Linked DNA regions of Canis lupus familiaris. The protein of the gene in region 3 purifies or fractionates together with the protein of the main gene of each other region. This does not show direct contact. Links are inferred from orthologs where the notes say so. Each region holds a gene or a part of one and is shown on either strand. Other genes may lie near its edges.

Region 1 (3,284 bases), on a different chromosome or scaffold from region 3:
TGGTATATGATTTTCCAAGTTGTCTTTCTGCAAAGAAACTGACAATACCACTTGATGGGATCCACAGGCAGGCAACAGAGCAGTCTTGGTTGTCAGATCTTAGACTGTATCCTGGGTCTACCCCCAGCTCAACAGGTAAATATGTGAAAGTTCTTCTCTGAGCATCTCTGATATGACAATAACCCTTACTCACAGAGTTCCCATAATGATCAAAGGAAATAATGTAAGTTTCATGCTTAGTAAAAAAGCTGGCATAGTAAACACCCAACAAACTCTTATTATTAGTTATCACCAGCACCACCACCACCACTTAGTAAATGCTTACTGCATACTATGAACACTACTAATAATTTTGATGATAATGATAATAAAAATGATAAAAAGTGGTAACATCTGTTAAGCACTATGGCATGCTAGCCACTGTGCCTTAGCGTACGTCCTCTCATTTAATCCTTGCTACCACCTCACACTTGCCATCATCACTTCTACAAATGAGAAAACTGAGAACATCTGAATTACTTTACTCAAGGTTACCCAAAGTCAGTGGCTAGGCTGGGATCTGAAAGTCTGTGTTTTTTTTTAAAGATGCTATTCATTTACTTGAGAGAGAGCAAGCAAGAGAGAACATGAGCAGAGGGGAGAGGGAGAGGGAGAAGCAGGATCCTTGTTGAGCACAGAACCTGATACGGGCTCAATCCCAGGACCCTGGAATCATGACCTGAGCCAAAGGCAGAAGCTTAACAGACCAAGCCACCCAGATGCCCCTGAAAGCCTTAGATGTAGCTTTCTTAATCATTCTTAATCATTCTTGATATACCTGTTGTTTCAAAACAATGCACAATACTGATTGAGCTCCTACTATAAGTCAGGTGCTAGGACTTATCATGTCTATTCCTATAACAACTACAAGCAAGGCTTGGCTAGTCTCATTTTACAGGTGAAAAGGCCAGGAAATTTTATTTGTCCAAGGTCACACAGTTCATAAATGGCATAATTTATAAGTCTGATCATTCCAGGTCTGTTTAGTTCAAAAGTCGGCCCCCTGTCCGGTACCACAGTCAGTACTCTGCTGTGCCAATAACAACTCACATCACTATATTTTCCCCGGGGACATGAAGGTCAGCATTTTCTTAGGTCACAAACCCATCTACAAATACTGATATGGCCAGTCAATACACAATGAACTGGAAATACCTGATAGTCTGAGGTCATGATGAGTCCACCTGAGGTAGTGGTAGGAGGAACAACTCTCACTTTTTTCAATGGGGGTCCCTGTGTATGACTGCTGTCTTGATTCCCTGGGTGACCGGTTCCATTAGTATGGTTATTGCCCTGCTGCTGCTGCTGGTTCTTCTCAATTGGTTAAACAGAAAAATAAAGTTCAACTCAGAAGGAGAACCAAATACAAACAAGAAAATGTTACACGGTAGATGGAATAAAACAAGCAGCAGCCAAATGTACTTTAATACTTACTTTGTCTCCTTTGTCATCGGGTTCTTCTTCTGTTAAAAATTCTCGTTTTGGGTAAGGGATTTGACAACCGGCAAAAACGCTGCTCACAACAAAAAAAGAAAATTTCTAGTATGCTAATCAGTATCTCAGATGCTTCATTTTAATCTTTTAAGATGGACTTTGTGTCCTTATTTGTAAAATAAGCACCCTTCATGCAACTGTGCCAAAATGAATCTTTTCTTCTAACTAGGGACATTGTAGCAGACCATGGGAAGGATTTTCATTGTGTGAAAATAATCAATAATCATCGAATATGACTCAACTTTCTTTTATCCCAGACTCACTCTTTTATTGTTACAATCCAAATATAGATTCCAGTGGAAATGTCACTATTTGAACACAATTTTTTTTTTTACTCTCCCTTCTACACATAAGAGATGACATGGGGAACACAAATTTATTTGGGAATGGGATTTTGTAATTAAAACACAAAACTGTAACTGTAAGCAGTGGGCCATCTCAGTGAGTCTGAGTGAGCTACAGCATGCATAATTAACCTGTCACTGAATAATTGGGGCACGGCTGAAAATAAAGCTGGTAATGTTTCATAAAGTAAGACATGAACAGGAATGCCTTTTCACTGTAAAAGCCCTAAATGACACCTCAGTCATCAGAGCTCATGTCACTGGGATTTCCCTAGGTCCCCATGTAATGCGAGTGGCAACTTGGAGTTGACAACTCAAACAAGCCCACTCCAGAAAATTCTATCATGCTGGTGAGTTAATAAACTGATCACTTACTCTGATGTAGGAAGTGGATCTTCTAAGAAATAGGGATCCTGCATAGCCTGTTCTGAGGTAATTCGCTTTATTGGGTCCATAGTAAGTAACTTCTGAAGCTGAAATCATAAATCATAAAAACATTGTGTTATTTCTTATAGTTATATCCTTGGCCATATGTGGGATGTACATGTTTTTTGATGAAACACTACAATTTGAGCGGTATTTATTCCCCCAAATTAACAAGAGAAAAACTGGATTATTACATTTAACATAGTAATTCACATTTAGTAATTCTAATAATCATGATCTTACTTGGTTCTAAGAAGTAAACAAAACCTTTACCTTATTCTAAACCAATGATCTACATTATGCAAATTGTTTTGTCCAATTTAGAACAAGACTAAACTCTTATATTTTCTATTCTTTTTCTATAAAGGGAAAAAAACTATTATAACACAAATAATAGAGTAGTCACATGTGACTATTTAGATTTAAAACCAAATTAAACTTAAAAAAATCAATTTCTCAATCATATCAGGTACATTTCTAGAGCTCAAGAGCCACATGTGGCTAGGAGTTATCCTATTGCACAGCACAGATCATCAGAGAAAGCTCTCCTGGCCAGTGTTATCCCTGTCTAAATAAATATGGTGCTTGATACAGAACTTGTGAAGTACAGAGGGGTTATGAATGGAGACTTGAAGACCTTTATTATCTGAGTGACTTTGGACAAGTTGCTTAATCTCTTTGCAACCTCATTTGTCAAATGGAGATTAAAAATAGTGCCAGCTACCATAGGTTTGTTTTCAGAATTAAATGAGTTAATATATGGAAAGCAATTCTAAAGGTACCTGACACAAAGAAAGCACTATGTATTATTATTATTTTGCTACCTATAAAAATGTCACACTAATGTGAAAATTCAGTATTTTTTTGGTTAAAACAGTTTATTTAAGACTTTATGAACAAAAATATTTGAGGTGATTTTTTATTTTATTTATTTATTTCAGAACATTTGATTTTAGTAGGGGATTTAAGAGCTAATCTAAA
Region 2 (2,605 bases), on a different chromosome or scaffold from region 3:
GCACTTGCTGCCCTGGGGGCAGGTCTGATACCTTCTCTACCTCACGGTCTCCTTCTCTTTGGGAGTTGAGGGCACCCCTTCCGGACTCAGGACCCAGCTCTTTCTGCCACTTGTAACTGCAAGCTTGGGGCAAGTGATACCTGCCAAGCCTCAAATTCTTCATCCACAAGACAGAGCACCCTCTGGGTGGGGATACTGTGAGGAGTGAGGTGTTTGATAAGTACTTATTCCAAGTACCTGCCACCCAGCAAATAATTGGTGGCTCAGGGTGCTCAACCCTGGGAGGGGCATTCAGTATAGTCCCAAGGAGGGATTTCCACCCTGCTCCATGGAGGACTGCGCCCTGGGGACTGAGCCCAGGCCTGGCCCAGAGGGCCAGGCCCAGCTGGGAAGGATGACCCGTCAGGCCAACGGGGTCCTTGGGGACAGATGTCTCTCCTCAGGGCACTTACTCGGTTTTGACAGTGGTTTTGCCATTTGCGTGCTGAGAGGGAGGAGGTTCTCACCATACGTTCTGTCTCCCCTTAAGCAAAGTGAACATCTTCCTCTCAATTATCCAAGAGACATCCTATAATGAATTTCTCAGTACAAAAACCAAGGTGTCCCGAGAGCAGAGTACAAGTTCTTTTAATTATACTCTCGAAAAATGTCACAAGGCAAAACCCTGGAACACAGGGAAGATTCCATCTCCCTCTGCCCTCGGAAGAGCCCTCATCCGTTTTAGCCGTGCGGAAAAGCCTCGCTGGTTATATTTCTAGATGCTTTGTGTTTCCTATTTGGTCAGAGCCTTAAAACGGGCCCACACTACCCTGAAATTTCAAGGCCATAACTGATTCAGTTAAATATAACAGTCCCAGGGTGGGAGTGGTTGACTAGGCGGCTACCCACTTCAATTCAGAGCCCGCTCTTCTGTCCAAAGCCACTGAAACCGAATACCGCCCTTCACATGTCCCAGTGCCCCATGCACTAACCACCTTCTGACAGGTGGCTGTGGGGCAGCACAAATGGAACCCCTGCTAACATGTCCAACCAGTACTCTGCCAACGAGGTCAATCGGCGGGCATCTGTTAAGCCCCTGGCTTTCTCAGCACAGGTTATGTGCCCATTTCTAGATCTAAACAATATGTGACTACTTCTCACCTCGTCTTTAAGAGGCTAAGAGGCTGTCATGTCAGTTTGACAGTCAAGCGAAGAGCACGCAAATAAAAGTCCTGTTGGCAGAAATGAGGGACGTTCTGAATATTAATGAAACCAGAGTGGGGCTGCAGAACTCCAGGCTGTAGGTGGTCGCCCTCCTTCATCCTTCAGAAGGGACTCGGAACTGATGGGTGATCAGAACGGTCACTGCAGCCACCCTTCTCTGAACAGTGCATCATGGTCACCTCTGCAGTGCAGTCAACGTTCGGTCGACTCTTCAGTGAGAAGGCCAGACGGGAGACTAATTTTTTAAACCAGGACAAGAGGAATCTGAAATGAAAAGAGGCAGGGCCCGCTCACCCGGAAGCCTGTGTGGAGACAATGGTTCTCTCCAGCCCGTGGGAAGCACCATGGGGTCTGAAGTGGTCTGGTCGTTCTCGAGCATTACATGGCTGGATGAGCTGACTCCAGGGCACAGGAGACAAAGGGAGCAAGAGCTAAAAGTAACAGGACACGTAGGTGGCAGAGAACCTAAGACAGAAGGTGCCTGCAGGGCTCTGGGTTGACACCCCCAAAGACCCAATTATATTCACTGGCTCAAACATAAAAAGGAAACAAAGTTTTTCAGTGGGGGCGGGAGAGGGAGGAAGTCACCCTGTTGCAGTCCTTCAGAACAATATTCATGCTTTCCTGGTTTTCTTCTAATACTTGAAATCCATGCCCTATGAGTGCAGCTCCAATTTGTCCAGTGAATTCTATGCAAATGTTTCATGACACTGCTGTTAACAGAACATGTACCTGGTACACACGGAGCATACCCAGAGTGGGAGAAGAGGGAGGGCAGGAAGCAAAGAGGAGCCACCTTCTTTCCTCCTGTGCTCTCCCGATCTGCCAGTGGAGCCTGAATACACAGCAGATGGCCCCCTCACCGGAAGCAGGAGCAGAATCCTCTACCCCCTCCCCAGCCTCCAGGAACATTCTTCCTTCCACCAGCAGGCACTCAAGTTATTATGCATCTAGACATATGGATATATACACTACAAGGAGGCCCTGACAAAGCCAAGCCTGCACGCTGGCTCCTCACATAGTCAATGCCAAGTTCAGCTACAGAAGCAGCTACAGCAGCAGCCCCCCACCCCCAGGCCTCTCGGTTACAAAGTTCACAGCTGGAGTCTGAAAGATCTACACTCTGAGGTGGTGTGTGTGTGGGGGGAGGGGGGGCGGACAGTGAGGACGCGTGGTCTCCCTTTTCTTTCTCAGGCATTCCTGGAAGGCGGCCTCATCTACTCCTTGGGGATCTCAAACATGCAGAGGCTCTTGTACTTCTGCAGAAGTTCATTCTTGGTTCTGACTTGCTCCCGGAGGCTCTGCAGCTGTTGCTGCTGCTGCTCAGGACTCAGGTGGATGCCCGGCATGGAGCTGATGACCTTCCGCATCTCCTGGAACTTGGTTTTCAGGGCGTTCAGGT
Region 3 (4,081 bases):
ATGCAGAATCTCTCAATTTTTAAATACTGGTAATTAGTTCTAGAAATGGTCAAGTCTTGTGAGGTCAAAAAGAACTTATCTACAATCTTTGTGGTCTGTGGGCCAATAGTTTTAGACTTCTGTTTTATATTCTCCCTTGGGTGATTATTAGTTAATTCCCTGGCTTTTAACACCATTTCTACCAGTCATTCTCAACCAAGGGCAATTTTGCCCACCAGGAAACATAGGGCAAGGTCTGGAGATATTTTTACTTGTCACAACTGGGGGATGGGGTGTTACTGGCATCTAACTGGTAGAGGCTAGGGATGCTGCCGAACACTTACAATGCGTATGACAGCCCCCAAAAAGGAATTATCCCAGCCCCAAATGTCAAAATATTGTGCCAAAGTGGAGAAGCCCTGTTCTGTGTTTATGACTCTGTACTTTCTAGCTCTAATCCAAACTGCCTGATCTCCTGGATGGCTCATAAAGCATTCAGGTTGAACCACTTGCATAAAGTCACAGATTAAGTAGTAGAGGAAGGATTCAGAACCATAGTATCTTAAACACTACTCTACATTATCAAGGATAAACAAAAAAACATTGCTTCCATCTTAGTGCCACTTACAACCTAACAAAAAAAACACAAAAATAACTACCAAGTTTTAAGGCTCCTACAGAAGGCCAACAGTTCTACCAAAAATAAGTCTAAAAATTCCACACAGGAAAATTATCATAAGCAAAATTAAAAGACAATCCCATTCTTTTGGGAGAAAAATGCCTGCAAGCTAACAGAGCAAATATTGGAAATTTTATTTTGACTTTTCAAAAATTTATTTTCTGACTCCACTCCCACCGGAAGGAGGGCACTAGGACTTCAGGAACTGCCGAATACACAACTCCATCTCCAGCACCTCAACACCTAAAAGATCCTCAATAAAGGCCCACTGATTGAGTTTTTTTTTTTTTTTTAACCTCCGTTTTTTAAAACAGAATAATAGACAAAAGAGGACAAGGAGGAGGGCTCGGGTGGTTCAGTCGGTTAAGCTTCTGCCTTTGGCTCAAGTCATGGATTCAGGTCCTGATCTCAGGGTCCTGGGATTGAGCCCGCATCCGGCTCCCAGCTTAGCAGGGAATCTGCTTCTCCCTTCTCCCTCTGCCTTTCCCCACGCTGGGCTAGCTCCCTCTCTCTCAAGTAAATAAAATCTTAAAAAAAAAAAAAAAAAGACAAGGGAAATGCAAATGCTGAATAAAAGCAGAAAATTATTCAGACTAATATACTTCTAAAAGCAAAGTTTTAAAAAGAATACTTTTCATCTAACGGACTATCGAGATTTCAAATACTCCATCATTCAACAAATATTAGAACACCTTCCATGCGACAGGCGCTGGATGCCAGCAGAGGTCGCACTCTCCCAGGGCAGCTCTTTCTGTCCAAGGGTCTTGCCCTCTCATGCTTCTATAAAGACCACTTTTTTGCACCACAGACGTCTCAAGAACTCTTTCTTGGCTGTTGGTTTCAAACCCTAACATCTGTCCTACGTCACAAGTGCATAAAAATGTGCACCAAGGGTGTTTAATGCAGCGAGGTTTGAAAAGAGTAGGAAAAGCCGGAAATCATCCATGACTTCATCAATATGAGGAGTGGATAAAATATTTCTCTGTAATATAAGGCGGCCCTCGAGTAAAAGGGGTAAAACTGCTTGCGGGGAGTGGGGGGTGGAGGTGGGGGTGATAAACAGTGTTTATATGTGATTACTACCAAAATCAGAGAATTAGCATTGATCTGGTTACTTCAAAAGCGACTGTAAGAGACAGCCCAGGCTCTGCCTCACTCAAGCATTTTTAGTTGGGCGCCCGGTTCCGCGCCTCCCCACGCCACAAGCCACAAGCACTCCTCTATTCAACGTGCAGGTTCCCAGTCCCACGTGACTGGCACGTTTTAAAGCCTCTCGGCGGACGCCTGGGTGGCTCAGGGCGGGATCCGGGGATCCGAGATCGAGTCCCACGTCTGCAAGGAGCCTGCTTCTCCGTCTGCCTGGGTCTCTCATGAATAAATAAATAAAATCTTTAAAAAAAAAAAAAATTAAAAAAAAAAAAAAAGCCTCTCGGTCTTCCTCACACGCCTGTCAGCTTCCTTCGCGAGAGGAAGACTCCGCGTCTCGGAGGGGCCGCCTGCGCCGCGTCGGGGCTAGCGAGTCCACGGCAACGCTCCTCATCCCGGCTCCTTTCCGCGGCCCAGGGCAGGCTCGCCCACGGAAGCAACCTGACGAGTCGCACCGATTCTGCTCATTCCTCCACCGCTTCTCTGGGGCCAACTCTTCCGAGGCGGTGTCTCCACTGAAACCGGCGCCAAGCGTCACGGCCGGTGACCGGACCCCAGACCCCCCTTCCGTGGGGCTCAGCCGACAGGAAGGCATTCCAGGGTCCCGCCCCGCCCCCGAACACCTCCCCCTCGACGTGGCCACCAGGCTTGGGATCGCGGCCTCCTGCACCCCGCACTACCGCGGCCGACCTCAGGCTCCATCCCCGACGAGCGCGGGCAAGGCCCGGGGGCCGAGGCCCGCCACGTCCGCCCGGCTCAGCACACCCGCGGCGCGGGACTGGAACTCAGGGCTCCCCCACGGAGGAAGCCCCGAGCGCGCCGCGCCGACGGCACCTTCCGCCCGGCTCCCCGCGAGCAGCAGCGAGGCCGCATCTCCGAGGGATGTGGGAGAGGAAGGTGACGGAGCGTGTCCGCGCCAGGCTTCCCCCATTCCCAGCCGGCCCTGGGGGAGCCGCGGGGTCCGGAAGGCGAGACGCACGCGGCACGAAGCCGCAAGCCGTCGCCGCCCACTTACCTCAGCCCAGGCTTGACGCTGGAGCCGCCTTCGCCTCCGCAACCGAAAGCCGACTTCCGGCCACCTCCTCCAGGAAGAAGCCCGTGACACTGCCCCTTGATTGGCTGAGAGAACTGTATGTTAGCCGCCGCTCTAGTCCCGCCTCCAACCAAAACCTTGCTACTGCGCCTGCGCGTATCTCCCCGCGCCCTCGGCGGTCGGGTCGCCGGCGGCCTCGGGCGTGGGGGTGTCTGTGCTAGTACTTTCTATCAGTAAAAGCTGCAACTGGTAGCTTCGCTCCTTTGTTATCTTTTTTTTTTTTTTGACACCTGAGATTAACTTATCCGTTTGCCTTACATGAAAATTAGAAAATGCAGATAAGCCGATTTTTAAAAATTAGATCGACTCTAATCCTACTGTCCAAAATAGCATTACATTTATTTTCAATCTGGAAATATTTATGAACGAGATCGGGAATTCATAGCGTTCTCAGTTTCTATTTCTTCACATTCATATTTATTTTCATTTAGGAATTGAAACATAGCTATGTTTCCAGGTAACAAAAAATGTATCAAAGTTTTTGGGAGGTAATTTTCAGAAGAAGTAACAAACTTATAAATTCGTGGAAATCTGACGAGAGCATACTGGACATAAAAGAAAATTGTTATTCTGATAAAAGTTTTCAACTTTGCCTCTAAAATAAGATTACTTGGTTTCATTTTTTAGAAAAGAACGAGATTCCGAGTATATGCAAAAGTAGAGGGGCGCCTAGGTGGCTGAGTGGGTGAAGCCTCTGCCTTCAGCTCAGGTCGTGATCCCAGGGTCCTGGCATCAAGCCCTACTTGGGCTCCCTGCTCAGCAGGGAATCTGCTTCTCCCCCTCCCCTCACACTGCTCTTGCTCTCTCTCTTCCTCTCTCAAATAGATAAGATCTTTAAAAAAAAAAGTGTACTCATTATCCACCTTCAATCTATATCTACCCATTAGATCTAGACATTATTTCGTTTTAATATACACGTCCAAAATAGGACTCTCATTTTCCCCCATAAGGATACAGGTGTTATATCATTTAAAAATAAGTTAGTAGAGGTGCCTGGGTGGCTCAGTGGTTCCGTGTCTGCCTTTGGTTCAAGTTGTGATCCCAGGGTCCTGGGATCAAGTCCTGCGACAGGCTCCAGATATGGAGCCCGCTTGTCTCTCTGCCTACATCTCCGCCTGTCTCTCTGTCTTTCATGAATAAATAAAATCTTTTTTAAAAAAAATAAAATAAAATAGTAATTATTT

What was found.
Region 1: the proteins of MED7 (region 3) and CDK8 purify together in Homo sapiens (affinity purification with mass spectrometry; 7 studies listed by BioGRID and IntAct, counting the BioPlex papers as one, with this or other methods). This does not show direct contact. The link is inferred for Canis lupus familiaris from reciprocal best matches to the Homo sapiens genes MED7 and CDK8.
Region 2: the proteins of MED7 (region 3) and MED9 purify together in Homo sapiens (affinity purification with mass spectrometry; 5 studies listed by BioGRID and IntAct, counting the BioPlex papers as one, with this or other methods). This does not show direct contact. The link is inferred for Canis lupus familiaris from reciprocal best matches to the Homo sapiens genes MED7 and MED9.

What each region holds. Positions count from the first base shown.
Region 1 is NC_049246.1:13,124,119-13,127,402, forward strand, and holds part of CDK8 (cyclin-dependent kinase 8), read right to left. Parts: intron 2,351-3,284; coding exon 2,253-2,350; intron 1,553-2,252; coding exon 1,474-1,552; intron 1,354-1,473; coding exon 1,195-1,353; intron 1-1,194.
Region 2 is NC_049226.1:42,179,883-42,182,487, forward strand, and holds the end of MED9 (mediator of RNA polymerase II transcription subunit 9), read right to left. Parts: coding exon 2,421-2,605; 3' UTR 603-2,420; downstream 1-602.
Region 3 is NC_049225.1:53,884,330-53,888,410, reverse strand, and holds the start of MED7 (mediator of RNA polymerase II transcription subunit 7), read right to left. Parts: upstream 2,887-4,081; 5' UTR 2,820-2,886; intron 1-2,819. UniProt on the Homo sapiens protein: Component of the Mediator complex, a coactivator involved in the regulated transcription of nearly all RNA polymerase II-dependent genes.